3 linked regions of the Arabidopsis thaliana genome follow. The protein of the gene in region 1 purifies or fractionates together with the protein of each later gene. This does not show direct contact. Each region holds a gene or a part of one and is shown in the gene's direction. Other genes may lie near its edges.

The links.
Region 2: the proteins of SWA1 (region 1) and AT3G26480 fractionate together in Arabidopsis thaliana (co-fractionation; one large-scale study listed by BioGRID). This does not show direct contact.
Region 3: the proteins of SWA1 (region 1) and AT2G18900 fractionate together in Arabidopsis thaliana (co-fractionation; one large-scale study listed by BioGRID). This does not show direct contact.

Annotation. Positions count from the first base shown.
Region 1 is NC_003071.7:19,636,367-19,645,704, reverse strand, and holds SWA1 (transducin family protein / WD-40 repeat family protein), read left to right. Parts: upstream 1-7,026; 5' UTR 7,027-7,102; coding exon 7,103-8,695; 3' UTR 8,696-8,838; downstream 8,839-9,338. Other genes in the region: AT2G48020 (Major facilitator superfamily protein), read right to left, coding at 1-5, 84-148, 218-293, 381-446, 521-586, 672-731, 815-904, 981-1,043 and 1 more; RKF3 (receptor-like kinase in in flowers 3), read right to left, coding at 2,387-4,240; AT2G48000 (Pentatricopeptide repeat (PPR) superfamily protein), read left to right, coding at 4,902-5,198, 5,287-6,435; SCC3 (sister-chromatid cohesion protein 3), read right to left, coding at 8,910-9,136, 9,249-9,338. UniProt on the Arabidopsis thaliana protein: Essential protein required for nuclear division and organization during embryo sac development in female gametophyte, probably by promoting rRNA biogenesis essential for the progression of the mitotic division cycles during gametogenesis.
Region 2 is NC_003074.8:9,684,500-9,695,650, reverse strand, and holds AT3G26480 (Transducin family protein / WD-40 repeat family protein), read left to right. Parts: upstream 1-4,684; 5' UTR 4,685-4,823; coding exon 4,824-4,943; intron 4,944-5,032; coding exon 5,033-5,209; intron 5,210-5,299; coding exon 5,300-5,446; intron 5,447-5,519; coding exon 5,520-5,865; intron 5,866-5,990; coding exon 5,991-6,109; intron 6,110-6,189; coding exon 6,190-6,267; intron 6,268-6,389; coding exon 6,390-6,554; intron 6,555-6,634; coding exon 6,635-6,679; intron 6,680-6,782; coding exon 6,783-6,952; intron 6,953-7,037; coding exon 7,038-7,116; intron 7,117-7,205; coding exon 7,206-7,282; intron 7,283-7,362; coding exon 7,363-7,492; intron 7,493-7,579; coding exon 7,580-7,709; intron 7,710-7,791; coding exon 7,792-7,958; coding exon of another isoform or gene 7,959-7,982; intron 7,983-8,008; exon of another isoform or gene 8,009-8,033; coding exon 8,034-8,378; downstream 8,379-11,151. Other genes in the region: AT3G26470 (Powdery mildew resistance protein, RPW8 domain-containing protein), read right to left, coding at 8,751-9,008, 9,100-9,507; AT3G26460 (Polyketide cyclase/dehydrase and lipid transport superfamily protein), read left to right, coding at 11,044-11,151.
Region 3 is NC_003071.7:8,185,554-8,197,319, reverse strand, and holds AT2G18900 (Transducin/WD40 repeat-like superfamily protein), read left to right. Parts: upstream 1-4,783; 5' UTR 4,784-4,910; coding exon 4,911-5,030; intron 5,031-5,106; coding exon 5,107-5,292; intron 5,293-5,379; coding exon 5,380-5,568; intron 5,569-5,669; coding exon 5,670-6,075; intron 6,076-6,210; coding exon 6,211-6,329; intron 6,330-6,425; coding exon 6,426-6,503; intron 6,504-6,642; coding exon 6,643-6,783; intron 6,784-6,876; coding exon 6,877-6,921; intron 6,922-7,004; coding exon 7,005-7,171; intron 7,172-7,349; coding exon 7,350-7,428; intron 7,429-7,514; coding exon 7,515-7,591; intron 7,592-7,687; coding exon 7,688-7,817; intron 7,818-7,902; coding exon 7,903-8,035; intron 8,036-8,118; coding exon 8,119-8,285; intron 8,286-8,370; coding exon 8,371-8,533; intron 8,534-8,614; coding exon 8,615-8,829; 3' UTR 8,830-9,083; downstream 9,084-11,766. Other genes in the region: LKP2 (LOV KELCH protein 2), read left to right, coding at 65-309, 938-2,528; AT2G18910 (hydroxyproline-rich glycoprotein family protein), read left to right, coding at 3,189-3,432, 3,725-3,822, 4,251-4,304; AT2G18890 (Protein kinase superfamily protein), read right to left, coding at 10,635-10,817, 11,529-11,678.

The DNA of each region.
Region 1 (9,338 bases):
TTTGCCTACAAACACATGTACGACTAATTATTCACAAGAAAGTATACATGTCAAAGCTTTTATGGTGCTTATTGTGGTCTTACCAGCCATCTTGGAGACTCAGGGATAAAAAAGAGGCCAAGGAAGGAGGCAGCGCATGGGATGATTCCTGAAGCCACATTACACACATAAGTATTCTGACATGGATGGAGACTCTCCACGTAAATTCCTTAATTACCTATTAATGCCAAGACTCTCCACGTCACTAGTGTGCCTATGATGAAGGAAACCGACACTCCAGTGCAGATCAGAATCTGTGGCACAAAACGGTAGCTTCTTTTCACAATCCCCTAACAGAGTAGTAAGGGAGACAAAAGATCTTCATGTTGCTCTTTAGTTACCTGGTTCAGTGTGGTTAGAGCCCCTCTGAAAGTTTTAGGTGCAATTTCTGCTATAAAGATTGGCACCTACACACCAAACGTATCATTAACACTGGATAACGAGATGTTGAACAGAAAATGTATTAACTCGATGGGCTCACCACATAGGAAAATGCTCCCATTCCATATCCCGTTGCCAGTCTTCCAAGGTCCAGAGCCACTACTCCCTTTGATTGAGACAAAAAGAGAGATACATTAGGAAAAACTTTAAGAGCAGCATATATAGCCACTGTTTTGGATCCTGAGTAATACCTTGGCAAAGATGATTGCTAGCCACCCGACTACACAAAATGCAGAGGAAACTCTCATCGCCTGGATACAGATCCACCACAAGTAAGTACGTGTTGTCAACACAAAGAAAACTAATAGATGGAAAGTTTCAAACATTTCCTTACCCCCTTTCTTCCAACTAAATCAGCTATAGGCCCGCTTGTTATAGCACCGATCATTGCGCCAAAAGTTAGTAAAGAACCAAAGAGTGAAAACTGCAGAATCCAAGCTAGAGGTAAGCAACATTCAATGAATAAGTGATGAACAATCTTTCCTAGAAGGATTATGTACCTCAGCTATAGTCAATGAAAGGTCATTCCTAATTGCAGCCTGAGCAGGTGAAGAGTATCCCGCCTGCAACGAAACCAAGTTTTAGTATAACGTTCATTTTTAGACCAGAAACAAAGTTAGTGACTTTCCATAAATCTAAAATCACTTACACAAGAACCGAACGCAAAAGAACCACAGACCGCAACGAATGTGCTGAGATAAACCATCCACGGCTGGTCTGGTTTTGATCCAGCCATATTCTTGTCCACCAATGGTTCTCTGACGGCATCACTTGCCTTGGACATCTTCAGGTATTATGTATCTCCCTTGAGCACTTGGCTAACTCAAAAATTGCAAAAGAGACGAAGCCTGAAGCAAAAGTTGAGTAAGAAGACAGAAACATACAAGAAGAGTAAAATGGAAAAGCGGAGGACAAGAATTAAAGGTGAAAACTTTTTATGGGTAAGAGTGACCCTTTAGGCAAGAAATCCTTTGTGGGGTTTGTTACCATTCAAGAGATGAAAGCTGTTTTATGTCCTTTACCAAGAGCAGCCATGGATTACAATCCAAAAATTTGATTTCAGATTTTCTGATGATAACCATTAAACTAGAATATAGCTAATGACAACGTTGAGCCCACTCGGGGGAGTTCAAACAAAAATGAGTTTATAAACTACTTATCCACTATGTGTATACTAAAAGATACACTAAGCAAATTCACATTTAAAAAAAAAAAAGAAGAAAGATGTACAAGTAAAACTGAATACGCACACACATGCTAGTGGCTGGCGTGGATTGGACAGAGACAGACACGTGATGTCTTTGGCCTCTTGTCAAAACCTTGATCTCAGTTTTTTTTTCTGAAATTCTTGTGAATCATTCATTAATCATCCAAGAAAAACAGAAAACTCACGCAGATCCATTTGAATCAGATCTGTCTTTTTTATCTTTCTTGTTAACATTAAAAGACGTGACTGTTGATACAGCGATCTTGCTTATGTAACTCGATCGTTCCTTCTTCTTTCAGAAAGATTTTGTTTATAAAAATTTGAGTAAAAAGAAAAGAAAAGAATGTAAGATAACCCACCCACCAAAATGTCATTGCAAAGTTGATTAATGACGTTAGCAGAGAAATCACCGGAGCGGATCAATCAAAGTGTTGCACACTCACACATGGATATCTTCATGGACCTCCGCATCTTTCGTGTCTTTTTCCAACAAAAGCTTTTGTCGTGGTCTGACATTTGATACCAATGTGAAATGTGTGTATATATATATTTCTAAGCCTGTATAATATTGCATCCAAAGCTGTTACAACAAGATGAGTTTATTGGAAAAAGCAACTGTACTTACATAAGTGACAGAAGAAGCATCAAAGAATGAAATGAATGCACACTAAATTAATATCTACAACATACATATCTCATCTAAGTGGTATTCGTGTTCCCTGAGGGGCCATCACCTCCGAATGAGAAGGCCTGATATCCCGTGGGGCTAGTGAGCTTCCCTGAGCCACTGCTGCTACTAACAGAGCGGTCAATCTCTTCCCTACAAGCCACCAGAGGGATTGGCCGTTGAGGTATGGCTATAACAGTGAACTCATTGCTCTCCAGCATTTTCACCACTTGATCCATTGTTGGCCTTGCGTGGAGCTGAGGGTGAGAGCACAGCACTGCTATCAGCACATACTTCTCCAGAACCTCTGGGGGTCCCTTCTCTGGCATCCCGTCTTCCACCACATCCAATGTCTGGCCTTCTCTTACCAGCGACCACGCCCAGTCTGCCACCGACACAGGCTGCCCCTCCTCGTCTGTCACAATCGCCTTTCTCCTGCTCAGAAGCTCTAGAAGCACCACCCCAAAGCTGTACACGTCGCTTTTCTCAGTCAGTTGCCCGTACAGTGCGTACTCTGGAGCAACGTATCCCATAGTGCCTGCGACCCGCGTGCTCATATGAGTCATTCCTTCGGGGTTGAACTTGGCCAGCCCGAAATCCGCAACCTTGGCCTCAAACCTCTCGTCCAAGAGAATGTTGCTGGCCTTGATATCCCTGTGGATGATGGAGGGTTGTGCGCCGTAGTGTAGATAAGCCAGTCCTCTGGCCATGCCAAGGGCGATCCTCTGCCTAAGAGGCCAGGCAAGCTGAGCCTCCAAGTCGCCAAAGAGATGGTCATGAAGGCTACCGTTACTGACAAGATCACAGACAATGATCCTCTGGTGACCTTCATAGGGCGTGGTTGCAGTACAGTAGCCTCTGAGGGCAAGGAGATTGACGTGGCGGATGCTGGCGATGACCTCGACCTCATGAGCGAAGTTGGCGTCCCCTCCAGCAGAACAGTTCTTGAACCTCTTGAAGGCAACCTGGGTGCCGTCGGGCAGGGCGCCCTTGAAGACGTTCCCGTAACCTCCCCGGCCAATGATGTTGTGGCGTGAGAAATTGTTGGTGGCTTTCTTGATCTCGTCGAAGCTGAATTTGACAAGAGTGGTGCTCTCGCTCATGGAATCAAGTCTAGACTGCGTGCCAGCTTCTAAACTAGTATCCCGAGGCTTGAGAAGCTTGCTTTTCTTCCTCCGGCAGTACCAGAACCAAGCGGTGATAACCAGAACAGAGGCGACGAGCAAAACAGAGAAAGAAGAAACTAGAACTTTGACTTTGTTAGCACCGGAGCTAGTGGGAGAAGCCAAATCGAGCTGAAACAAGCATTTGGCGGTGCCTTTGTCGGTGGGGCCCAAGGAATTGGCGAAAGCAGCGGCGTAGATAGAGGGAAAAGAAGCACAGTCGGAGACATTACCGAGGGATGGACCGGAGAGATAGGGCTGAAACGCGGAGAGGCTCTGAGTGCAGGAGGCGCAAGGGGTATTGCTCTCGAGAGAGGTGTTACAGCGCATGGCGGTGGTGGCGAGGGAGGAGTTAGGGATAAGGGATTCGAATTGAGACCTGGTGGTGATGTCCATGCACCCCTGCGAAATCCACGGCGTCTGGAAACCGCAGGTGGATCGGACGTCAAAGCGAGGGAGGAAACCGGCGACGGAAGACTGGAGAGCAGCCCAGCAAGAAGCAGCAGACTCAGGTGGCGGGAGAAAGGAACCCGTCTGACGGAGATGGTGAGAGTAGAGGAGGCGTAGCCCTTGGAGGAGGTACTGGCAGGTGGTGGCGCCATCGGGTTTCGGACGCCGGAACGGTTCAAGGACGGAAAAGTCCAGAGGACACGTGGAGTTCTGAGCGGCGGAGAAAGAGGTGAAGACAAAGAAGACGACGGCGATTCGACGGAGAAACAACATCTAATTCGAAGAAAATTACTAATTGACAATAAAGACATAACATAACACTCTCTCTCTCTCTCTCTTTGTTTCTTACACTCATTGACCCACTAGTAATATTTTGGTCATTAGTTAAATATATATATACTCTTAAGTGTATTATTGATTGTGTTATTTACTTGATTTACTTGAAACGGTCAAAACATGTCATGAACCTAATTGAGTCTCATCCACGAAGTTGCACGAGAACTTTCCTTTCACTTTTTGTTTCATTTTCATACTATTCAATCAATAGTGGTAATCTGGTGAGAGATGATAATATTTAAAATTCTTGATTGGATCCTGAAGAGGTCTTACCTACTCATGTTTCTGTTTCGTATTTAATAACAAGCCTAATTGCATTATCTAATAAATCCAAACGTGTCTTAGTCTTATCATAGCTCTGCTGCTCACAATTACTAATCTACACGTGATGGCCGCCGGAACATGCGAAGAAAAGAATCTGTGTTAAGTGTGTATTCTAAGAAATTCTATATTCCACCGTTTGACTTCAAACCAACAAAAATAAATGGACATTTCAAATGGGCCGAGAAATGACGAAAAGGCCCAAATAGAACCGAAAGGGCCGAATCATCACCCTTGACTTTGAGAGAGAGCATCTCAATTGCTCCTCCTAGTCTCCATGAAGAAGCGCATGTGGAGAATCTCACTGATTTCCCAGATATCTGATCTGCTCTGCCTTTCCCGTGGCTCTTCTTCAACCTTGAAGACTCTGACCCCATTCTGCTTTACCCTCTCCAGGTCTCCCTTCCACCAATCCGGGGGCGATGATGATGCTTCGGGATTGAAAAACCAATTGTTGCGCTTCCGTAATGATTCCGGTAAAGTTGCCTCCGTTTTGGAGAGGAACAAAATCCAAGGAGCTGCGTTTGTTGAGCTCCTTAGGCAGTTACGTCCATGGCCCGTTTTGTCCCAACTGGTATACATACATCTTTTTTGTCTTCGAATTTCACAACCACAAAAGAAAAAGCCTTTTTTCCGTCATGTTTGATGTTGTTGCTTTGCAGGTGTTCGACTGGAGAAGAAACAAGGCACTATGCGATGGGTTGCCTATGACTGCTGATGAATACGCTAAGGGCATTACCATTTCTGGTAGACTGAAGAATGTCGATTTGGCCCTTTCCTTGTTTCACGAGTCTGCAAACAAGACCACCTCCGTCTACAATGCTTTGATGGGTGCTTACCTCTGCAACGGTTTGTCTCATCATTGCGAGCAGCTCTTCCTTGACTTCAATTCTCAACAAGACGGACCCTCCTCTTCTACTCCATCTGTCTCTACTTACAACATCCTCATTTCTCTTTATGGCCGTTTGATTATGGTTGAGCGGATGGAATCAGTATTCCTACAGCTTCAACAACTCAATATCCTTCCCGATTCCAGCACCTACAACAACTTGATTGCTGGGTACATCTATGCTTGGGATTGGGATAAGATGGAAGCAACTTTCCACTCCATGAAGAACGGCCTTGTTAAGCCTACGCTTGCCACCTATTTGCTGATGCTCAGAGGGTATGCAAACTCGGGAAATCTGCTACGGATGGAGGACATGTATCAAGCCGTCAAGCGTCACGTTGACAGGAATGAGATTAAGTTAATCGAGTCCATGATTTGCGCATACTACAGGAGTTGTCACAAGGATAGGATCAGAAAAATCAAGACTTTATCCAAACTTATCCCCAAGAAAAGTTACAAGCCTTGGTTGTATTTGCTCTTGATGCAGGTCTATGCTAAGGATGATAATCTACATGCCATGGAGAATTTCATAGACCAGGCTATTACAAAAGGACTCCAGATAGAGACAGATGGTATTATGAGATCAATAGTGGCTAGTTACTTCAGGTGCAATGCGGTTGATAAGCTTGCCAAATTCGTGCAGCGTGCAAACTCTGCTGGATGGAAAATGAGCAGGTCTATGTTCCATGGCTTAATGATCATGTATGGATCTCAAAAGCGTTTTAAAGAGATGGAAAACGTCCTCTCTGAAATGGAAAGCTTTAAAATAAGCCGGTCCAAGAAGACGCTTTGTATTCTGCTTAGAGTATACGCAGCAACGCATGGACAGGAGCATAAGGTTAATCAAGTCGCAGGAATGATGTTAAAGCATGGACATGATTTCCAACGACCTGAAGCGAGTAAAAGAGTTATGGGAAAATAGGATACTAGAGAGAGAGATATGAATAAATACAAGCAGCATATTTTGTTGGGAAGGATTGTATGCATCCAGGGATTCGATTTGAACCCTATAGCATCAAGGAATCAAACCATTGAAGCAGAAATGTCTCCGTTGGCGTATAGCATCCATGTGTCTTTGATTGTAACATTGTAAGTTGCTCTTTTGCGCATTACTTCTGGATATACATGATGAATAGTTTCGTACTCTGTGGTTCTTTCAGTATACAAAACTTCTTCCTTACTTGATCATTCTCCAATTTGCCTGATATAAATCAATCCACATGCATTATGTGTTAAGCACAAGATTGATGAATCACCTTTCCTTGTGGATGAATCGAGGAATTCGGTTTTTCTTTTCAGAGAAATAAGGATTGAGAAACTAAAAAAATCAGAAGAAGAAAGGAAAGGAGAGAAGAGATAAATTCGTTTAGTTTGTCCAAGTTAAATACGAAGGTTAAGTAAGGGCTTCAGATGCCAACAAATTGGTAGGCCCAATAACATAATAAACGAGGCCCAAAAACTTCATTTGGATACTTACTTATCAAATGTCTTCTTCGCCATTCTCTGCTTAAACCCTAAACCAGCCTCCTTCTCTCTCTCTGTTAGCTGCGTTCTTCTTCAAGCTAGCTCTCTGCTTGTACTCTAGAATAATGGAGGAAGAGCTTCGTGTTCGGCTGAATGACCATCAAGTGTCAAAGGTTTTCCCTGTGAAGCCCAAATCAACGGCGAAACCTGTTTCCGAATCGGAGACTCCGGAATCGAGGTACTGGTCCTCCTTCAAAAATCATTCCACACCTAATCTCGTCTCCTCCGTAGCCGCTTTGGCTTTCTCTCCGGTCCACCCTCACTCCTTGGCCGTCGCTCACTCCGCCACCGTCTCCCTCTTTTCCTCGCAGTCGCTTTCCTCCTCCCGCCGTTTCTCCTTCCGCGATGTTGTCTCCTCCGTCTGTTTCCGTTCCGACGGAGCTCTTTTCGCGGCATGCGATCTCTCCGGTGTGGTCCAGGTCTTCGACATCAAGGAACGAATGGCTCTCCGTACTCTCCGCTCCCACAGCGCCCCCGCTCGATTCGTCAAGTATCCAGTTCAGGACAAGCTCCACTTGGTCTCCGGAGGCGACGATGGAGTCGTCAAGTACTGGGATGTCGCCGGAGCAACAGTCATCTCAGATCTGCTAGGCCACAAGGATTATGTCCGCTGCGGTGATTGCTCGCCCGTCAACGATTCAATGTTGGTAACAGGCTCTTACGATCACACGGTGAAGGTGTGGGACGCCAGAGTCCACACGTCCAATTGGATTGCCGAGATCAACCACGGACTCCCAGTGGAGGACGTCGTATACCTGCCTTCCGGTGGATTGATCGCAACCGCTGGTGGCAACAGCGTCAAGGTATGGGATTTGATCGGAGGCGGGAAGATGGTTTGCTCCATGGAGAGTCACAACAAGACCGTCACGTCTCTCCGCGTTGCGAGAATGGAATCGGCTGAGAGTCGACTTGTGAGCGTTGCTTTGGACGGATACATGAAAGTCTTCGATTACGGGAGAGCAAAGGTGACTTACTCTATGAGGTTTCCTGCTCCTCTCATGTCTCTTGGCCTTTCCCCCGATGGTTCCACTCGGGTAATCGGAGGGTCTAATGGCATGGTGTTTGCCGGTAAGAAGAAGGTGAGAGATGTTGTTGGAGGACAGAAGAAAAGTTTGAATCTCTGGAGTCTGATAAGCGATGTGGATGAGAGTAGGAGAAGGGCACTGAGGCCTACGTATTTCAGGTACTTCCAGAGAGGGCAGAGCGAGAAGCCATCCAAAGATGATTACTTGGTCAAGGAGAAGAAAGGATTGAAGCTGACGAGACACGATAAGCTCTTGAAGAAGTTCAGGCATAAGGAAGCTCTGGTCTCGGTGTTGGAGGAGAAGAAACCGGCCAATGTTGTGGCAGTGATGGAAGAATTAGTGGCGAGGAGGAAGCTGATGAAGTGCGTGTCGAATATGGAGGAAGGCGAGTTGGGAATGCTGCTAGGCTTCTTACAAAGGTACTGCACTGTGCAGAGGTATTCAGGATTGTTGATGGGATTGACGAAGAAGGTTTTGGAGACGAGAGCTGAAGACATCAAGGGTAAAAACGAGTTTAAAGGGCTTCTCAGGAACTTGAAGAGGGAGGTTAATCAGGAGATTAGGATACAACAGTCTCTTCTAGAGATTCAGGGTGTTATTGCTCCTTTGATGAGAATTGCGGGTAGAAGTTGATCTAATCAATATCACAAGTTTTGTTTGTTTCTTTTTTTCATTATATGCCTTCAATTTTGTTCTGCTAATGATAGATATTTCATGGTAATGTCTAAACTTGAAATGATGGATTTCTATAACAAAGAGCAGTTTTGTTGGTTTCCTTGACTGTATCAACTAGAAACAAACTTTTAAACACATAAATTATGTCGATTGATAAATGTTTTACCCGTCGTCAGTGTCCCTTGGACCGTTCACCCTTGAGCGCTTTCCGTCTGGCAGCCGATCTAATTGTCTCGATTAGAGGAGCGTCCTCGTCGAGCTTATCTTCTCTGTCTGACCCGCCACTAATAGACTCATCCTCATCGCTTCCACTTTGCTCATCAAACAGTCTCTTTCGCTCTGTTTCCGGACGTTTTCTTGGCCGTCCCCTGCGTCTTACATTTGCTGCTTCCTTGTCGTCTGTGACAGACGCATCATCACAAGTCAAGACTTAAAGCATGCAGACATATCATACTCATCTACCGGCTTTGATTAAACCAAATCAGATGTTGTGCGAGTGCACATAACATACCTTGTAAATCCTCGTTTTTCAAGCATTTCTCCTCCAAGGTTTCCAAGAAGGTGAAGCAAGGACGCCATCCACTGGGATCTTCGTCTGTAT
Region 2 (11,151 bases), on another chromosome or scaffold:
GTCTACTATTCCTCAAGACAGCAAGCTGCAAGTGATGCTGTTTGGCATAGAAGACTCGGTCATCCTAATGCTCAGATTCTTCAGCACCTGTCAACAACTAAAGCTATTTCAGTCAACAAAAACACCAAGATGGTATGTGAAGCCTGTCAGCTTGGGAAGAGTCTTAAGTTACCTTTTTCTGCTTCTTCGTTTGTAGCCTCTAGACCTTTGCAAAGAATACATTGTGATCTTTGGGGTCCTTCACCAATAATGTCAGTACAAGGTTTTCGATACTATGCTGTTCTCATTGACAATTACTCACGCTTCAGCTGGTTTTATCCCCTCAAGTTGAAATCAGACTTTGCTTTGATATTTCCTGTGTTTCAAGCAATGGTTGAGAATCAGTTTCAATAGAAAATTGGAACCTTTCAATGTGATGGTGGGGGTGAGTTTATAAGCAAAGACTTCATAGCTCATCTACAAAAACATGGCATTCAACAACTGATGTCATGTCCACACACACCTCAACAAAACGGTTTAGCAGAAAGAAAACACAGACACATTATTGAATTAGGACTCTCAATGATATTCCAAAGTAGTATGCCACAGAAGTATTGGGTTGAGGCGTTCTACACTGCAAATTTTCTTATCAATCTACTACCAAGTTCAGTATTGGAGAAGAAATGCAGTCCCTATGAAGTTCTAATGGGAAAGCCTCCAAATTACACATCACTACGTGTCTTTGGGTGTGCCTGCTATCCTACCCTAAGAGATTATGCAACCACAAAGTTCGACCCTAGATCACTCAAGTGTGTGTTCCTAGGATACAATGACAAGTATAAGGGCTACAGATGCTTACTTCCAACCACAGGGCGTGTGTATATCAGCCGTCATGTCATCTTTGATGAGTCACTCTTTCCTTTTTCATCTATGGCTTACATTCACTTGCAACCTGCAAATGTTACACCATTGATGTCTGCTTGGTTAAAGGGTTGCTCAGTACAAGAACAGAATCAGACTGGTACTTCAACAGAAAATCAAGATCACAATGATCAAAATTCAGTACCTTCTGGTAGGGTTTTGTTGAGAGAAGAGGAGAGTACTGGGTGTACGGCAGGCTTTGATCATGTTCCTATAGGCAACAGCTCTTCTTCTTCTACTCAGCAAATCACTACCTCAGAAGACTCTCCTATCATTCAACCGCTGCCATCAACTACAGAACAGTCTACTCAGAATCAATCTTCTCAGAGTGCATCTTCCAACAGTGAGTCATCTCAGGTCCAAACAGCTCAGCCATCTCAGTCTACCCACCCTATGACAACAAGATTAAAAGATGGAATCAGAAAACCAAATCCGAGGTATGGTTTACACACTCAAAGAGTATCTTACCCGGAACCTAAAACAGTGACAGCTGCTTTAAAAGATGAAGGCTGGACTGATGCAATGCACGAAGAAATGGACAATTGCTCTGAAGCTAAAACCTGGTCCTTGGTGCCCTATACACCAAATATGCATGTATTAGGCAGCAAGTGGGTTTTCAGAACTAAACTCAATGCTGATGGGTCCCTTGACAAGCTGAAAGCCAGACTGGTTGCAAAGGGATTTAATCAAGAAGAAGGCATTGATTACCTGGAAACTTATAGCCTAGTGGTGAGAACTCCGACAGTTAGATCAGTTCTTCACCTAGCAACCATCATGCAGTGGGACATAAAGCAGATGGATGTGAAGAATGCCTTCCTCCATGGTGATCTCACAGAGACAGTGTACATGATGCAGCCTGCAGGTTTTGTAGAGAAATCAAAGCCAGATCATGTCTGTCTTTTGCATAAGTCTATCTACGGATTAAAACAATTCCCACGTGCTTGGTTTGATAAATTTAGCACTTATCTGATTGAGTTTGGCTTTGAATGTAGCAAGCCGGATCCATCCTTGTTTGTATACATCAAGAACAAGAGTATCATCCTGCTGCTGCTTTACGTTGATGACATGATAATAACAGGAAACAGTTCAGATGCGATGTCAAAGCTATTAGACAGCTTGAATACTGAATTCAGAATGAAAGATATGGGAAGACTACATTACTTTTTGGGGATTCAAGTGCAGTTTCATTCAGAAGGAATGTTTCTCTCCCAACAGAAGTATGCAGAAGATCTTCTTGCTGTGGCTGTGATGAGTGATTGTGCTCCAATGCCTACTCATCTGCCACTTCAGTTGACTGCTATACCTGCACAAGATGAAATCTTTGACAATCCAACATATTTCAGAAGTCTTGCAGGTAAACTTCAATATCTTACCTTAACAAGACCTGATATACAGTTTGCTGTTAACTTTGTTTGCCAGAAGATGCATGCTCCAACAGTGTCTGACTTCAATCTGCTCAAACGAATTCTGAGGTACATCAAGGGAACTATAACAATGGGGATCTCCTTTAATAAGAACACATATTGCAGATTGAGAGCTTACTGTGATAGTGATTATGGAAATTGCATAGACTCACGAAGATCCATTGGAGGTTACTGTACCTTCCTTGGTACAAATATCATCTCATGGTCCTCACAAAAGCAAGATTCAGTCTCCAAAAGCTCAACCGAAGCTGAATATCGAACTCTGTCTGACACTGCCTCGGAGGTAACCTGGTTAGGATCTGTTCTCAAGGAATTGGGCATTCCTCTACTTGACACTCCAGAAATCTATTGCGACAATCTCTCCTCCGTGTATCTCTCTGCGAATCCAGCTTTCCACAAAAGAAGTAAACACTTTCAGCTACACTATCATTATGTTCGAGAGAGAGTAGCACTTGGAGCTCTGATTGTGAAGCACATACCTGGTCATCAACAGATCGCGGACATCTTCACCAAATCTCTCCCCATCAAGCCGTTCTGCGATCTTCGTTACAAACTAGGCGTCGATGTTCCACCTACGCCGAGTTTGCGGGGGGCTATTAGAGAGAATGCATCTTGTGTTGAGACAACAACTCGGATTGGTGAAGAGAAGAACCAGATCAGAGCTGTGATCGGACACGAAGCAGAGGAATCTGTAAAGGTAAATTCTTCAGATGACATTATCAAGAAGGTTCTGAGATTGGGCCAAATTGAGAATGCAGCAAACCTCAAGCCCAATAAACAACAGGCCCAAGCGCAGACCCTAAACAACTCTCAGCTCCAACGGTCATCTCCTGCAAAAGAAGACAAAACCAAAAGTACATCAAGATTGGATCAAAGGACAAAAACAAGGAGCTGTGCTGGAAAAGAAGGAGTGGTTTTACAAAACTGTTTTGACTGTCTAGGATCAATAGAGACCTGACATGTGTCAGTGAAAACCCTAGTGTCACTAAGATTATAATGCCTATGAAAGGAAACATGATGTAATCTTAAACCCTAAAGAGAATAATCAAGAGAAATGAAATTTATCTTCTTTATATTTAGCCTTTGAGCATCTTTACTTTCATTGGTTAAGAGAACACTGAAAGCAACAATTCATATGTATAAAAATCTGAAAAAATAATTCAACATTCTAATTCATTAAACGTAGGATTTACAAAAGTCCCACTTTGTCTCCCATTTTTAGTCATCGTTCATGATGGTTGTATGCGAATAGTTTGATGAACAACTATAATTATTACATTTAGTTTGTTTCCAACGAGCCATATGTCAATGTTTGTTACGCTACAATTTTTATTTTTCTTATTTCTTAAACTTTTTACTTTGGAATAAGTTGATATGTATATGAATCATCTACCATTTCTCGTTTTTTCACAATAAATCCTAAATTTTTTGAACATTTTGTCTATATATAACTTTTCCATGACATAAATTAACCTTAGATAATATTGTATCTAAAGGTATAAACTACCGTTCCAAGTCTGATTAAACTATTGACCCTAAACATTTTTAAAACTGTTAGATCCACAAGACGCACAACTAGTTGATTGCATAGTCTTTTGAAACAAGACAAACAAACACTATATCAAAACAATATCATCTTTCTAATTTTATTTTAGTTATGTCGCTATCTATATGAACGATTTTCCGATAAGCTAGTCATATGCAAAAGATTTATAAAAAAAGTAATATGTTGACGAGGAAAGTGATAGATTGATAAATTAAGAACATAAATGTTTTTGAAAAGAAATTATAGCTAAACTGTCATAAAATAAAATTATAAAATAGATTAACTTATATATAATAGAAGCAACTTCAGTTTTTTAAAACATTCATGGAATTAACGATGGATATCGAAGTTTATTGGTCAACCTAAAATCATACCCATACATTTTAGTATTTATTGGACGACCTCAAAAATCAAAGTCATTGTCGACCATTGTAATACAGTTAATGTCGCATACTATGCCTCTGAATCATCCATCCATATTTTGTTAAAACGAAGTGAGTTTGTTAACTACAAAATTTCCAATTATTGGACTATACATTATATTTTGTTTATCCACAGGGTTTTTCACATAAATTAAGAAAATACAAAATACTTAAGATCTTGAAAAATTATGTAAGTTATTTTCTTGCCGTCTCATTTTATTAAAGATAAAACAGAAAAAATAAACAAACAGGCCGAGGCCCAACAAGGTCAAGGCCTAGTCCAAGAAGCGAAACCCAAACATGGAGGAAGAGAATGAGAGGAGTCATCACAGAGCCAGGTGTTACGAAGAAAGTGAAACTACAAGTACAAGCATATAGTACTAAGTACTAGTCGCAATTTGGTCACAGACATAATTTCCTCGAAAACTGGGTACATTGTAATATTTCGTCGGAAAAACGTCGCAAAATCTAATTTTTAATCGCCGAGTAAGATGTTTGCGTCTTCTCAGAATCTCCGTGAGTTGAAGGAAAATGATTCGCGGCGGAAGAAACAACATTACTTCCGCTCCGGCGTTTTCGAAAGACGCAAAGAAGCTTCTTTTATGCACAGCCAACACCGTCTCTGTTTACAGCGTCGCCACTGGCTTAAAGGTTTTATCTCTCGACTCGAGCATCCTTCCTTTTAGGGTTTCCCTCTAATCTTCTTCTCTCATTAGCGTATGCGTGTGTGTGTTTTTAAGATTACTTCACTCGAGGATCATACAGCGCCTGTGACGTCTGTGATTGTTGATCCGTCTTCCGACGAAACCGTCAGTTACTGTTGGACTTCGTCGCTCGATGGGAAAATTCGGATTTGGGAGTTCTCTGCGCCGAAGCTTTTGAAGATATTTGATACCCACCTTCCAATTCACTCTCTGGTCTGTTAAAGTTCCATACTTTGCAGCTTATAAACAAAAATTTGATAACTTTCAATTGCCCTTTTCTAAGTGTCTGTTGGGACTTTGTAGGTGATGATTCCAGCTCAAGTGTCACATTCCGTGATTGCTTATGTTTCGGTTGAGGACTATTCAAGTGTGTCCAAAGATTTGTTTGGACAAATCCGGAGATATGATCTCACTCAAGACCCTCTTCATAGTGGAGACACTTTGAAAGAGGTCAGATTTGTGGATTAACCATTTTTCGATTAGCCTCATGTTTGATTCTATAATCATTTTTGTTAATGTGCAGATGGAAGAACCAAAACCTATTGTTTTAAGTCCCTCTGGAGAGTTTTTCGGCGTCTGTCATAACTGCAGTATACATATATGGAATGTGGCATCAGAGCACCTCATGCCAAAGGAGACGACATTACATCATACAGAGTTGATTACTGTTTTTGCTTTCCATCCCAATCAGAGAATATTAGCAGCCGGTGATGTAACAGGAAGAGTGTTAATTTGGAAGGATAATGGTATTGGAGAATTTACTTCAGTGAAAACTGAAGATGATACTGAATCTTGCACTACTTTCAACTGGCACAGCGCTGAAGTAACCGTCCTTAATTTCTCTTCAGATGGAGCACTTTTGTATTCTGGTGAGTCTGAGTTATTTTTTCATCATAGTGACTGTATCTCTGTGTGTTGATAAGGAATTCATGTTTCTTATATATATATATATTGAGTTCTTATGCTATATTTCCTTTGCTTGTGACTCTTTTAGGGGTAAAGGCAGGTGATTTTGTTGTTTGGGAGCTAGGTACAGGGAAGAAGCAACTTTTGCCAAAGATTGGATCTCCCTTGTTGTATTTCATCTTCTCTTCAGATTCAACTCTTTCTTCTGTAAGAGTTTTTCCGTTTACAACAACCGTAGAAAGCAAATGAAGTGTTTCATTAACTCTACTAAGATCAAGAATTTTCAGGTGATTTGTGCAGATAATCAAATTCATCTTCTTAAAATGCCTTCCATGGAGATATTGAGAACGATATCTGGAATCAAGGTTCGTTCTTACTATCATCCGAAATTTTTCCTTGTTATTGTTGGTTTAAGCATGCTCATATTGTATACCGTTTCTGTTGGAGTTAACTTCACATGCATATTGTGTTCTTTACTATGTAATAGCCTCCGACACCAGAGCGTCACGGGTTTATATGCTACGTCAAAACGCGGGATATATGCCTCACCAGAACTGTATCCATTGATCGTTCTTCCGGTATAGCTGCTTTCTGCACAGCGAATCATCGTGTTCAACTCTACAACCTTTTAAGTGACCATGACATTTCAGAGGTTAGCTTCCCAAAAGGCTTATTGAGTTTTGTATCTGATAGTTGTATGATTTTACTATTTAACAAACCTAACATATGCAGGTTCAAATTTGCGATCATCATCCAGACGATGATGATCAAGTCCGGGTTAGTACATTTTGTTTCTTCTCTGTAAGATGACATAGTTGTTACTAGTAAAAGATCCGCTCTCTTTCTGTTTTGTAATAATTTGAAGAATTATGGAAAATAGGTTCTCGTGACTGCGGTTGCTCTCTCTCGGAATGGCTCAGTAATGACTACAGCTGAGGCCAGATTTGCTGCAAGCAATTTCAGTGAAGGCATAGTTTCTCTCAAGTTTTGGGTATTTGTACCGGACAGCAAAACTTTCAGCTTATCGACAGTCATAAATCAACCTCACAGGTTTTTACTTCAATGTTCTTATAAACTTTTAAACTCCTTGATTCTCATCGTGAGTGTAACTTTTGATCCTTCTGTATTCTCACAGGGAAGCTGCAATTACAGCCATTGCCCTTAACCCCGCCCGTTCCATGGCTGTTAGTATATCTTCTGCTGGGGACTTCAAGGTAGGATTACAGAGTAGTGAAAAATGGATCATTTCCTTGGAATATCGTTTGACCTTTTGTGTTACTGATATGACTTTATGTCTGTCAAGATTTGGGTTTGCAGTAGCGACAAGAATCTGACACCTGAGGACTCAAACTGGATTTGTCATGGAGTTGGCTCTTATAAGTAAAAGATTAGGAACCTTTTAACATCTCTCATTACTTAGTCGTTGTGATGTCAAATGAAATTGATGTAATATTTTTCAGGAGAACGCCAATAACAGCTGCTGTTTTTTCCGGGGATGGTTCTTGTCTGGCTCTTGCGGCTAAAACAGTTATTACGATCTGGCACCCGTTAAAGAACGAACTCCTGTATGTAGTTGGAAAGGCAAATGCGGTAAGACTTGTATAACACACAAAAGCAATTCCATGTTCATTAGTTACAGTCATTGTTGAAATCTTAAATGATATGTAAATGTTTCAGCCAATTATGGAACTCTCATTCACTGGAGGAGGCTTCCTTATTGCTGCATCCCATGGTTCCACACCGCACTTATCTGTCTGGGATCTGATGACGTTCTGCTTATCATGGTCATATAGATTATACATAGAAGGTTTATTATTTATCTTTTTGATCATGAAATCTTGATTTTTTTGGTTGTCTAAGTATATTTCATTTTTCCTGTTTATTTGCAGCCATTGCTACTGAAGTGGACTCACCATACTTTGCAGTTTTAACATGGCTTCCAGAATCTGATAGGTTGGTAAAATCTAACGAACAGATATTCCGCGGGAAAGATGGTGCTATCCTCTTGTTTGATGGGTCAGGCCCTAAACCAGTAGCTATTTGGACTGTAATGAAGGTATATACTCTAAGGAAGGATTAATCAAAGTTCTCTCATTGCCGTTAAGAGACTTGATTACAATGTTTATTGCAGGCCAGAGGAGGAACACTTTCATTTGTGGAAGATGGTAAAAAGTCTCAGCCGCTTCTCGCGTATGTAAACAGGAGCCATGAATATGTTCTATTTGATCCTTATAGCGATGAAAAACTCGAGACTAGCGCCATAGATTATGAAGTTTTTCTTGCAGCAATAAGCAAAAAGAAGAAGAGATCTAGGAAGAAAGCATTGATGTCAGAGAAACCTTGGGAAACAATGTTTTGTGGATCAACACTCAATTTCCCGCCTTTCCCCGACTTGTGCGCTTCGTTCTTCAGTTCCCGGATGCAGAAAGAGGTGTGTGAGAGAGCAGATAGACAACCTGAAAGACATAGCTCTTGAGAGACCCCATATTTTGGAACCCAACTTGGATAACATCATTTTGTTGGTAGCCTTTTTGTTAGAGATACAATCTGATTCCTTCAGCTACTAAAAGGGTTGTTTTGATATTAAAAGGGCTTCATTCATCATGTAGAACCTGCTGATTTGAGGTGTATAAACCAATTCTCTCTTTAATACGTAAAAAAGTAAGGTCAATTGTAACGTATGGAAAAAGAAGAAGCTAAAACAGAGTAGTGGACGATAAATTATATTTAAAATTGTGACTGAAACATAATTTAACAAATTGAAAAACATAAATCGAAAGCAATTTGTGTTTTAAAGATCGTAGTCCGCAAGGTTGAGTGGGTTGCAAGTATCCTAAGTCGTATGTGGTCAAGCAGGAGGATTCATGGAGGCTGCAGGAGGAGACATCATCGGTAGGAGGGTCTCGGGGTCAAAGCCGTTGGCTCGTAGTAAGACATCTTGCGCTCGCTTCATCGCAAGCATGTTGTTGATGACGTTGTTGGAGAAGGTGCGGAATTCAGCCTCCAAAATGGTGACCCGCATATCCATGTCTAGGTTAGGCTGGATGTGCTGGTACTGAATTGAGCCAAGTCCGTCGTAGTCACACCCTTTGGTTGATGTGACGTGCTGCAAAAGAAACGAGTATTATAGAGATGGCCTTCAAACTTGGTGAACAAGAAATCACAAGGGAGAGAGAAGAAAACAAAGATAGATAGACCTCATGGGAACGTTCATCAGAATTGGCCCGGAGAAGATGAAGATCGGCAAGGATGTGTGTCAAAATGGAAGCCCTAAAGAAATCAGAGAGGGTCTTCTCTAGCTTCTCCATTTTCTTCATGAGATATAACTGTCGAATCATATTCCAACGATTGCATGTTAAGAATTTGTCCATGAGTTTCTTGCCCTTCTCTAGAGACTCAAAGAGTATACGGATTTGAGCCTGGCGGTGAGCAGGCAGCTCAACTCCACTGTACTGGATCTCTTTGATCGTCGGTTGAATGTTCTCGATCAAGGTGCTGAGGTTGTCGGCTGTGTTTTTGTACCGGCCTGCTCTCGCAGATATCAGAAAGAGCTGCTTCAAAAGCTCCGTCGCTATCTCACCGGCGAAATAATCAGTGACGGCCATTTAGTAAAGGATATGTTAAAGAGAAAAAGTGTGGAGATAGAGAGCTGAGAGACAAGGGGATATGAACTAATTAATCTGTATAGAGGAGGAATTCACCGGTGGAAGTTTCCTAGCAACTCGAAGTGACAAGTGACATCTCCATATAATATTTGTTCAAGAGTTCAATGAAGAAGAAACAAGGAAATTAATGAGAAGGTAGACGTATATTTTATTTTGGCATATTGTCTTGTTTACAAATTTTTAATTAAGGTTTCTTAGAGTCAAATTACTGACATATACACTGACGTAATATGATCATATTAAATCGTTTGATTGGTGTATGTACATATTACTGCTGAGTTTGTGGTTACAAGCAAATCTTATAGATTCCTTTTTATTTTTTACTTTTTTTCTTTAAAACTTAAGCAAAAACATAAACATGACCATATTGTTATAGATTCTAAAAAGTTCAAAAACTTAAGCAAAATTAACGTCAATGAATTACAATACCAGTTGTATACTATTAAATATAAACAAATTATAAAACGACGAAAACTTATCATATATTTTTCAATCCTGCTCTTTAAGGCAATATCAGAATATTGGATAATAAGCTTAAAAAGCAACGTTAAAAAAAAATGAGAGAGATATTTACATTTTTTGTAGTGTGTGTGATGGTACAAAATACAAAAAAAGAATTGTGCTTTTATAGAATAAAAGGTTAATATTTTATTTTACCTTTTGTTTTTTTTATTTATTACAAAATTATGGACTGCCGTTGGACCACTCACATTAACGTATGAGAAAGAACTGTACGCAGTTAATCTACTTTTATTACTAAAAAAGCAATAAAACAAAAATTGTATGCAGTTAGCCGCCTGATTTTTATTTTTTTGCTTATTAAAAATTAAAAACAGTTTATCTGTCACACATTTTGGACTACCAAAAATCTGACTTACCATTCAAAACTTTTAATATCGATCCATAAAATGCAAAAATAAATTAATCTTTTCGTTCTACCTCAAATCTCTAAATTAATAAAAATATGTGATTTTAATTTATACATATTTTCATGTATAAGTATAACTTCCACACGCAAGCACAGTCACACTATCAAATCTATGGATTCAGGTTACTTATGACACGACGATTATATATTAATATTTATCAATCACTATACAAATATGACACAACATCACAATTCAGTACCGACTACAAGTCGCAGTTGCGATTAATGATTGGATAAAATTTAGTAAACATATACGCGATAATTGTCCTCACGATTAGTGTGTTTCGCGTATGATTGATTATCTTGTAAAGGATGATGGACCAACTATACACATTAATAACGTGGTCGCGGATTCGTTTACCAAATCAAGAAAATACATTTCTATGATCCACTAATGCTCTTATATTTTATTTTAATGATTAAAAGAAACGGTAGAAACCATATTTGAAAGCGTCAGCTTCTGATCTATATAAACCAACAAGTGTTATTTCAGCAACCAAAACAAAAACACGAGTGGAAACTTTTAAACAAGAGAGGGAGAGAGCGAAATGGCGACGTCGGGAACATACGTGACGGAGGTACCGTTAAAAGGAACAGCAGAGAAACACTTCCAGAGGTGGAGGAACGAGAACCATCTCTTCCCTGACGCTGTTGGC
Region 3 (11,766 bases), about 11 Mb from region 1:
GGGTCTCTTCTCCTGTTGCTGAGGAAGAAGATTAGTGGGCTTAAGCTTTATTTTGTGGGTGTGTATGCAAAATCAAATGGAGTGGGATAGTGATTCCGATCTCAGCGGTGGAGATGAAGTGGCGGAGGATGGATGGTTCGGTGGAGATAACGGAGCGATTCCGTTTCCGGTAGGTAGTCTTCCTGGCACGGCGCCGTGTGGGTTTGTGGTCAGCGATGCTCTTGAACCTGACAACCCTATCATTTATGTTAACACTGTTTTTGAGATTGTTACTGGTTATCGAGCTGAAGAAGTTATTGGTCGAAATTGGTGAGTTTGCTCTTCTTGACTTTTACCCTAAATTTGTGGTGTTGATTTTGTTTTACTGTAGCGAATTTTGTCTCATTTGTGGTATTGGTACGATGTTACTAGAAAGCTTTGTTGAAAGCTGTTTTGACAGAAAGAAATTTATATTTCGATTCATTATTATGGTTCTTGTTGATTATGTTAGGTATTATTAGCTAGAACCATTTTGGAATCATGGGTTGGTTATTGAATTAGAAGTTTGTTGTGGAGGAACTAAGCTATAATGTGAGGTTCAGTTTGTAATGTTTCCTATGTCTGTGGATTAGTGTTTAGGAACTCGAACTTTGATAGTTTTTCACATGTCTTGATTGGTTTATGAAAGCCTTGGGATTATTGATTTTTGTAATATTGAATTGTAATGCGTTTTTGTCTAAGTATATATGTTTCTGTTGAATATGTTTCTCTTGGGTTTTAGCGGCTTTTGATCTGGTATTCCATGTTAATTATGCATATAGTTTAGTCTTTGTTCAATACTTGTGTGTGAGGAATTGTTCGCCAAAGTACTGTATCTGTTTAGTTGTTAGTTATCTATTCGATGAATTGAATAGGAGGGTCTTGTATCTGATTTGTGCTGTTGTTTTTTATTTGGCAGCCGTTTCTTGCAATGTAGAGGGCCATTTACTAAAAGAAGGCATCCAATGGTAGATTCTACAATTGTAGCGAAGATGCGACAATGTCTAGAAAATGGCATCGAGTTTCAAGGCGAGTTGCTCAACTTTCGGAAAGATGGATCTCCCTTGATGAACAAGCTGCGTCTAGTCCCTATCCGTGAAGAAGACGAAATCACTCATTTCATAGGCGTTCTCTTATTTACAGATGCAAAAATTGATCTTGGCCCATCTCCTGATTTATCTGCAAAAGAAATTCCTAGAATATCTCGCTCATTTACTTCTGCTTTACCAATCGGAGAGCGTAATGTTTCTCGTGGACTCTGTGGGATATTCGAACTGAGTGATGAAGTAATAGCTATCAAGATATTGTCACAGTTGACTCCTGGTGATATTGCATCGGTTGGTTGTGTATGTAGGCGGCTCAATGAGTTGACAAAGAATGATGATGTGTGGAGAATGGTCTGTCAAAACACATGGGGTACCGAGGCAACACGTGTTCTTGAGAGTGTTCCCGGTGCAAAAAGGATTGGTTGGGTGCGACTGGCCCGAGAGTTCACCACTCACGAAGCAACAGCATGGAGGAAGTTTTCAGTTGGAGGTACTGTTGAGCCTTCTCGGTGTAATTTCAGCGCATGTGCAGTTGGGAACAGGATTGTTATCTTTGGCGGGGAAGGTGTGAATATGCAGCCGATGAATGATACATTTGTGTTGGACCTTGGCTCGAGTAGTCCCGAGTGGAAATCTGTTCTGGTCAGCTCTCCTCCTCCGGGTCGCTGGGGTCACACACTTTCTTGTGTCAACGGTTCCCGTTTAGTAGTGTTTGGAGGTTACGGGAGCCACGGATTACTCAATGATGTGTTCTTATTAGACCTTGATGCAGACCCACCAAGCTGGAGGGAAGTATCCGGATTGGCCCCTCCAATACCAAGATCATGGCACAGTTCGTGCACACTTGATGGCACTAAGCTGATTGTATCTGGTGGTTGTGCTGATTCAGGAGCTCTACTCAGCGATACATTCCTGCTTGACCTATCGATGGATATACCTGCTTGGAGGGAGATACCGGTTCCATGGACTCCCCCATCTCGCCTCGGGCATACTCTAACTGTCTATGGTGACCGCAAGATTCTTATGTTTGGCGGTCTAGCTAAAAACGGTACTTTGAGATTCCGCTCTAACGATGTATACACGATGGATCTTAGCGAGGATGAACCGAGTTGGAGACCTGTGATTGGGTATGGATCTAGCCTCCCCGGAGGCATGGCAGCTCCACCACCAAGGCTGGACCATGTGGCAATCAGCCTTCCCGGTGGTAGAATCTTGATCTTTGGTGGTTCGGTTGCAGGGCTTGACTCGGCTTCTCAGCTTTATCTTCTTGATCCAAATGAGGAGAAACCGGCATGGAGAATACTGAATGTTCAGGGAGGTCCGCCGAGGTTTGCATGGGGACACACAACATGTGTGGTCGGAGGAACTCGATTGGTCGTATTAGGTGGTCAGACCGGTGAAGAGTGGATGTTAAATGAAGCACATGAACTGTTACTAGCAACTTCTACCACTGCAAGTACTTGATCAAGTGATGAAGTTAAAAAGGCATTTAGATGTGTTGGACAAAAGATCTATACATTGATCAAAAACATGTTCATATTGTCTGTACATGGTGAGTTTGATACGTCCATGTTTTGTTCATCTGTTGACTTAATGTTTTTTTTTTGTATATGCAATATTACGAATTGGATTGTACATAACGTCTTTTGTAGTGCAAGTGGCCAAATGATCTAAATCCAAACCTTTTTTTTTGTCCTCCCAAAATGTTTCATGTCTGATTGAAATCAAAATTATTGTGTTTAGGGTTTAGATCTTTTCTCCACGGATCATATAATAATTGTTTTTTTTTTTGAAGAATTATTAAGAAAAAAAAGGACCAAAAAAAAGAAAAGAAAGATTCGTCGGAAAAAGCAGGAAAAAAAAAAGAATGCAAGAAATGTGAAGTGTGTTTGACTCTTTCATTGGTCAGTGTGAAAAGTAAAGTACATTTACACTTGCAAGAAAAAAAACACAGAGACGAACCAAAACCTCACTCTCTCCCCTGAAACTAATCTTCCACTTTTTCACTGTCTGCAACTTGCAACTACAACTAGCAAGCAAGAACCTTTCTTCTTCTTCTTCTTAATCTCAGATTCTTGTCTGAAAACTTTCTCTTTCATTTTCTCTCAATTTAACACTTTCAAGATGCCGATCAACAAAGACCCATCAACACCTCCTCCTGTTATCGGAAAAATCGGTCCTTACACTGTCTTTATGACTCCTCCTGCGACTCCTAAACCACCTGAATCTCCCTCCGCTGTGTCTCAGAAGCCTGTGATGGCACCACCGGTTCTTCCTCCGCCGCAGCAGTTTAAATCGGTGGCTTCTTCTGACCAGGACGGCTCAGTTTTGGGGTTCTTTAAAAACGCCGTCACAAAGGTTCAAAATGGTGAGAAATCTGATAAACAATTAACTGATTTTCAGCTCAAAGTTTCCTCATTTTTAGATCTTGAATTTGAGATTGATTTTTCCGATACCCTTTGATTGATTGATTAGGAAATTGAACTCAAAAATGATATAAATCGTTGTAAAGTTTCTATCTTTGTGAAGTGATTGGAAAGTACTAATGTTACATGAATTCTAGCTTTTCATACTGTTTATGTGATTTGGTCCTAAAAGCAATTAGATTGTGAATTTGACATTCATGTTGTGTGTGTGTGTTCTAATCCATTTGACTACAGCACATTCAAGTGTGGATGATCATTTGGTGAGGTGGTTTGGGTTAAACCAATCTAAGTATCAGTGGGCTTTGGATGAGTACTACGAAAGCAAAGAATCAGTAAGTTTTTTTTTGAGTCTCTATATGTTTCCTTTGAGTCTCTATATGTTTAGTTTCTTGTTCTTGCGGGTCCTGTATCGTTCTTTGTACTAGTTTCTATCGATAATCGATTCCTTTAGTCCGATTGATTCATCAGCTTTTTGTTTCATGTACATTTTGCGTAAGCTTAGAAGTAAAGCTAGTTTAAGTGTTTTTTTGCTCTTTGCTTCTAGGCTAATGAACATAACAATATACAACCAATGAAATTGATACAACATATTTGAAGCTTGATATTCACTCAATATCAGTTGTAAAAATTGTTCATTGGTATTTGGTAGTCAAAAATGTCATTGATTGGTTTTAGAGTTACTACTCTCTTTAGTCATTGATTTGCTTATGTTCCTCAAGTAAATCTTGTAGTTAACACATATCTTTTGAATCGAACGCAGGATATGAAGACCGTGAAAGCAAAGGAGATGCCGGGGAAAGTACAGAGTGTATAAGCAACCATGTATAAACTCATTTCCCCTTTGGCCAATTCTAAAATCTGTTTTTCTGAGAGAGTTCAAAAAAGCTTGAGTCTTGAGGAAAGTTCTCTTCAGATGATATTTAATCTTAGAGATTTCTTTTGGTATATTTCAAAACCTATGTAGTAGCTCTTTCTAGTTTCATCTAACAATGGTGAAATCTCCAAAGCAAAATGGAGAGATGTCATTGGTCATTTGGTTTGTTGTAAGTTTAATCACATTATTTACTTTTTAATTGTATCGTTATAATCTATATATTGTCTCAATTCAAAAAAGTTTGCTCAGTGTTTTTCTTTTGATTGTTGTCATACATGAAAACTTTTGCTAGATACCTCTCAAAACTTCAATAATTATCTTCATCAAACCTAACAAGGCCCATTACAAAGGCCCAAAAACATTATTGTTTAATATTTTCCGATTAAATAAATAGATAAAAACTGAAATGTAATTGAGCAGAAAAAAAAACAAAAGAGACGAAGAAGGGTTTAAGTTAGGGCTTTTGAAGTAAACCAATTTTGTGCGTCTCCCTTTTCTTCTTCTCTTCCCAATTTCACCGCCTCTCTCTATCGCCGGAAATTAACCATGAAACGCGGCGGAAGAAGCTACGTAACTTCACCTCCATCATTCTCCAACGACGCTAAAAAGCTTCTCGTCTGCACAGGAAACACTGTCTCTGTTTTCAGCGCCGCCACTGGCTTACAGGTACCAAAAATTTAATTCTTCTTCGATTTTGTTAGGGTTTCTATTCGAATCATTGATTGATACATTTCTGTTTTAGATTACTTCGCTTGAAGGTCATACAGCTCCAGTAACAACTCTAATTGTTGTTCCTGCATCAAGTCCTGCTCAAAAAATCCTTTGTTATTGTTGGACTGCTTCTCTTGATGGTACTATTCGTCATTGGGATTTCTCTGGACCTGAGCTATTGAAAACTATTGATGCTCAGCTTCCGATTTACTCTATGGTGAGTATAAAAAAAGTTTGATACTTTGATTAGGTTTTGTGAGTGTTTTGTTTGATGAAATGAATCTATGTGTTTTGTGTGTTTTAGGTTATACCATCTCTTTTGAGCGAACCTCAACAAATTGATAAACGTCGTGAGTTGTCTGGTAAGTTGGTTGCTTATGTTTCCGTTGAGGATATAAGTGTGGTTAACCAAGGGTCTAAAGAGTTGCGTGGACATATCCGAAGATTTAACCTCGCTAAGTCGCGTATTCCTCGTGGAGATACTTTAAAAGAGGTTAGTTTTTTTAATGGACTTATTTGAAAGAGGTTTGTCTTTAATGTTGTCTTGAAGTTGAATTGTGTAAGCTCAAGTTATTTGCTTATTTCTTTGTGTAGACGGCAGAACCAGAATCTATTGTTATTAGTCCCTCGGGAGAATTTTTCGGAATCCGTCACAAGTGTAAAATTCATATATGGGATGTTCCTTCTGGAGGATCAAGGCATGCGGTTTCAAGGAAGATGACATTACATCACACAAAGGTTATCAATGCTTTTGCTTTTCATCCCACGGAGAGAGTTATAGCTGCTGGAGATGTAACTGGAAGAGTGTTGATTTGGAGAGGATTTGGTAATAGAAAACTTGCCTTGGGTAATCAAAAGAAAAAAGTGAGAGCCATGGTTGATTTGGACAATGCTGGAGTGAGAGGTGAAGATGATGCTGAATCTTGCACTACATGGCACTGGCATTCTGCTGAAGTTAATGTCCTTAATTTCTCTTCCGATGGAGCATATTTGTATTCAGGTGCGGCCGAGTTATATTCTGATATCCATTGGATTTATGAACCGACATAGACTAATAGGTCATGAGCAAATTTACTGTTTGAAAGTAATGTCCTGACTTCTTACTCCATATTGCGTCTGTTTTCTGACTCTTTAGGGGGAAGGGAAGGGGTACTTGTCGTTTGGCAGCTAGACACAGGGAAAAAGAAATTCTTACCAAGGATAGGATCCCCCTTGCTGTATTTCATGTGGTCTCCAGATCCAACTCTTTCTTCTGTAAGTCGGAGCTTACTCTTTCATTCTAATCTAACACACAACTGCTGAAAGCAAAAGGGAATGTTTTACTGATTTGACTACGAATGAGAGCTGCAGGTGGTTTGTGCAGATAATCAGATCCATTTGCTTAAAATGCCTTCCATGGAGATCTTAAGGACCATTTCTGGAATCAAGGTTCGTCTTGGAAACTTAATAATTAAGGACCTGTAATCATTCTCGTCAGTTTTGTCAACGATTCTAGGATTCTAGAAACTCTCGCAACCGCTTTACCTTTTTCTTGGTGTTTACTTCAATGTGTGTTATTTTGTTACAGCCTCCCCCATCATTGCCTAGGATGTATGAAGGCTTGGCTAGTACTGTTGCCTTTGATCGATCTTCTGGCATAGCTGCTTTGTGCACAGAGAATTATTGTGTACAGCTATATAATCTTCTCAATGACCGGGGAATTTCAGAGGTTAGAATTTGGCTCCAATATATCCTTAAGAAACTCTATGCCACTTTCTCCTGTCTATGAAATCTCTAACTTCTTTAATCAATGCTTTTGCAGATTCAAGTTTGTGAGAGAAACCATCAACCAGGAGATGAGATCACAGTAAGTACATTTCCTTGCTGTTTATTTGATAGTATATCTAAGATTATTTTCGTTTGGGTGATAATTTGAGTAAACGGTAATAGGTTGTGGTGACAGCGGTTGCTCTCTCCCTGGATGGCTCAGTGATGAGTACAACCGAGGTGAAACTTCCGGAAGATGGAATAGGAGGCTTAGTGTCCCTCAAGTTTTGGGCGTCTGAACCAGACAGCAAAACTTTCACCTTATCCACAATCGTATATGAACCTCATAGGTTAATATTTCACCCTCTGCTAATGGATAAAGCTTTATTTTTCACCATTACCCAATTTTCTTGTCATGTTTTATTTCTTGTAAACCTTGCAAACATAGATTTCAATTTCTCTTATTTAGTCTACAAACTGTTATATCCTTTGCAGAGAGTAAATTTTATTTTCCTGTATATCTTACAGGGATGCCGGTGTCTCAGCCATTGTGTTCCACCCTACCCGCTCCATGGCAGTGAGTACATCATTCGGTGGTGACTTCAAGGTAGTTCTTAAACTGATTTTACATTTTTCTCTCTGTGTTTTTTGTTTGTTATTATTGTCTTACTGATATCACTTTTGCTGTTTCAGATTTGGGTATGCAACAGTGACAAGAACCAGACGGATAAAGACTCTAGCTGGATATGTCACGCTGTTGGCTCTTATAAGTAATAGCTTCTCTACGCGCTAGGAAATTTCAACATTCACAAATTATTCGCCTTGGCGATCAAATTTATATTCTCTTGCCTTTGAATATTTTCCAGGAAGAAACCAATGACTGCTGCTGCTTTCTCTGGGGATGGCACTGTTATGGCTGTTGCGGCTGAGAATGTTATTACACTGTGGAATCCAGATAAGAACATTCTCTTGTCTGTTCTAGGATCGACACTCACGGTAAAACCTATGAAGTTATCCCTAAAAAAGCTGGAACCTTTTTCCATAAAGACCAATGTTTAAACCTCTCTATATATTATTACAGCCTATCACGAAGCTCTGTTTCGCTGGAAAGTCTGAGTTCCTTGTTGCTGCATCCCATATTCCAAGACCTGAACTATCTGTTTGGAATACATCAAAGTTATCTTTATCATGGTCATATGGGTTACGCATAGAAGGTCAGTATTATAATGCTTCTTTGATTTCCCCATGAAAACTCTTGCTGTGGTTTACTTAGAAAATGCTTGTTCTCGTTCTATAGCTGTCACCTCTGCAGTGGATTCGTCAGCATTTGCAGTCTTGGCTGTGATCCCAAAAACTTTTAAAACAGATGAATCTAAGGAGAACATCTTCCGTGGTAGAGATGGTGCCATTCTTTTGTTTAACGGATCAGATCCCAAGCCGGTATCTATATGGACTGTGATGAAGGTATGACATAAGAAATAGCCCGTTAGTATTTAACCTTGGAGAGACAGGAAAGAATCCAACGAGTTAAACAATGTCTAAATTGCAGGCTAGGGGAGGATCAATCTCATTTTTAGAAGGAGATAAGTCTCAGCTTCGCCTTGCATATGTAAATGGAAGCCATGAATATGTTGTCTTTGATCCCAATAGTGATGAGTCACATGAGCGTAGCGCTGTTGACTACGATGGTCTTGCTGGTCTGGAAGAGACAGGTAGTTAAAACTTAAAACATATTTGAAAGAACCTTTGTTGATTATACCATGTTACTAATCGAAAAAGTCTCAACCTTTTAGGAGACGCCGGGTACACATCCTTATACGGGCAGTTACCTGATTATGACAAGAAGAGAATGGAGGATGTTGAGTCGTTGGGAACACCGTTTGTATCATCAGAAAGACCGTGGGAAACAATATTCAGCGGCTCCACACTAAATTTCCCGCCACTTCAGAAATTATGTGCTGAGTTCTTTGAGTCCCTAATGGAGAAAAGAACGGCCGTTGTGGAATGAGACCTTACACAAAAAGTTTTTTGTAAGGTTTATTATACAGAAGAAGAGCTCATTTTTGCAGCCATCTTTGGTGAGCAAAGTTGTTGAGTTTGTTCAGGAAATTTTGTAGCTCTTTGTTGTGAGATTCGGTCCAGTTTATTTATGTTGTTGCTACTCAAAAAATACAGGATTCTAACCAATTGTGCCATGTTTGACCCAAAAACGAAATGAAATATCACGACCTGCCTTTTTTTTTTTCGTTTCTAAAATACGGCATGCATTTATATATTTTAATGCAAATTGTTCTTGAAATCATAATGAGATTTATTATACTGAGGGTGCTTCGTTTTTAAATTTGAAAAATGTTCATGAAATCGTTATATATCCTTAGTGGAAATAAGCAAAATAATTTGGGGACTTTTTACTTTTGCTAATAGATTCTCAATAATTGTGAAACGAGTCAGGTGCTCCTAACCCACCAAAAGAAATTATTCCAAAATCCAAATATTTCAACTAACACCTTGCATTATTTTATTTGAACTTTGCTTGATAACATTTTGCATTATTAAGTTGGAAAATGGGAATACAAATAGATATTTCATATTTCGTGATTCGAGGTTCATCTATTATATATTTAGCTCTTTTGGTGGTCCAATATGTTGAGCAAATTATTCTTTAAGTACATGAAAAAGGTAATTGCTTTGGGGACACTTACCTTTTTATTTTTATTTCCACATGCATGTAGGACAATAGTTTGCAAGGTTTGTGTTACGTCTTCGAAAAGCTTTCTACTTTTGCAAAAAGATCATTGTTTTTCCTTCAAACAACAAATTATTTATCTTAGCTAAATAAAAGGTTTGTTTAAAATTCTACAAATGTGGTTGAATTGGCTACCCAACTTTGCAGAGGAAACTTTATTAATCAACCACACAAAATAAGATACGTAAATCTTTTGTAACAATCAAGTTAAGTAGCTAAGTGACGAAGACGATCGACATAAACATCAAATGATGTTGTATTTAGTACCTATGAACATAATTAATACCAGACTTTATACTTACGGGATATTTAATTGTAGAGTGGTACTACGATAATTTTCTGTGTCGTACACCTGGCATGGGCTCCCACACCAAATAAGTATCCACATATTTAACTTATTATTGTTGTATTGATCCAAGACTGCATTATTATTAAAAACAAATTATGTATATATAATGATTAATGTTTTTAGTTTTAGATAGAATCATTGATCATCAAATGGTATCCTAGGGCGTGGCATGCTCAAATTGGTTGAGTCAGGGATCTTGAAGACTCTTTGATCATGGCATTATGTTTATAAAAAATGACTTAGTTTTTATAGACAATTCTTATATTGAATGTTTTAAATCATGGCATTCAGCTATTCTCTTTTAACACTGAAGTCGACTCCACTGATTGCATACATGAGATTAATAAAATCAAGGGCTAATGAAAAAGGCATTTTATTCGCTGATTTGACCACTCATTATTTTATTTGCATTACAATTTCCAAAAGACATTTGATGAGAAATTATTAAAATAATTGTGTTACTTTAATAAGTAACAATTTAACTAGTAAATGCAAATCAACAAGGACCCTAGCTCTTAATGTGGCTTTTAGTGAGATGATATCATGACTTTGCAAACTCTGGATAGAGTTTGGTTATAATATTATAAACAGTCGACATCCAAAAAATAAATAAAACACCTCATTGAATACTACAATTGTTTATGAAATAGACAACTCTAAACAAATATATACAACAAAACAAAATTGATTTTTCAACATTTTACAACTAAATTTAGATCTAGCGACTACGATGCGAAGAACTTCTATTAGAGATAGAGTCAGGAGGAGAAAGTGAGATTGAAGAATCACATTCACAATCCTCAAGATCTTCATATCCCCAAAACTCTTCTTTAACTTCTTCTTCCTCTTCCATTTTCCATTTCTCTTTCTCTATATCTTCTCCTTGTAGTACTTCTAAGACCTAAATGTACCATAAATCAACACATAAACATAAAGATTCATAAAACAATAGTAATCAAGAACAAATCGTATTATCAATTTTTGTAATTAAGAATGTAGTAACATTTTCTTGTAAGCCAAGTTTTGATCTTGCAAATCCGGTTTAATAGTTCTTGTTTTGTTTTTAATTACATATATTGATTAAAGTTAAGTGTCGGTAAATGAGCCACTTTTCTTCATTATCCTCAATAATCACAACAGAAATATAGTGCTTGTTTTGTTTTGTAGTATGTGACTGTGATTAAGATTAGGTGTCGGTAATTGAGCTTTTCCCATATATTATATATAGTACAATTTTTTAATTAAATCAAAAAGTTGAAAGGTACTACTATTCTTTATTCAATAACAAAGAAAAAGCAACATAAGCTTAACGTTTGATGTATATGTCGCATTAAATAAAGATGGTTATAGTTAATGACCAAAGACATTTTTTCAGTCACGCAGCCGATGAGCTAACTGAAAAGCGATCGTTGAGTAACATATCGACACGATTACGTCTCATCATGAACCAATCATAAATAACTTTCTCTTTACTAATAAAAAACCTATAATTCCGTGACACTAAATTATTCTTTTGTTGCCTAGATAAGTTTTCACTTGTAAAAATGAAGAGAAGTAAACAAACAAATGATGCACTCTACAAGTTAACCATTAGTGAGTTTAATGGACGTACCTCGATCATGGAAGGTCGACATAGAGAAGAAGATCGGATGCAGAGAGACGCGGCGAAAGCAATGCGATGAAGTTGTTGCAGATCAAATTCTTCACCGATCCTCGGATCCACCAGCTTCTCAATCTCTCCATCTTTGATTATCAGTTTTGCCTGGATTACAATTTATAAGTATAAGTAACATGGAGATATATCGAATAAACTCATCATATTTTGTTTATAAAAATATCTATTAACACTT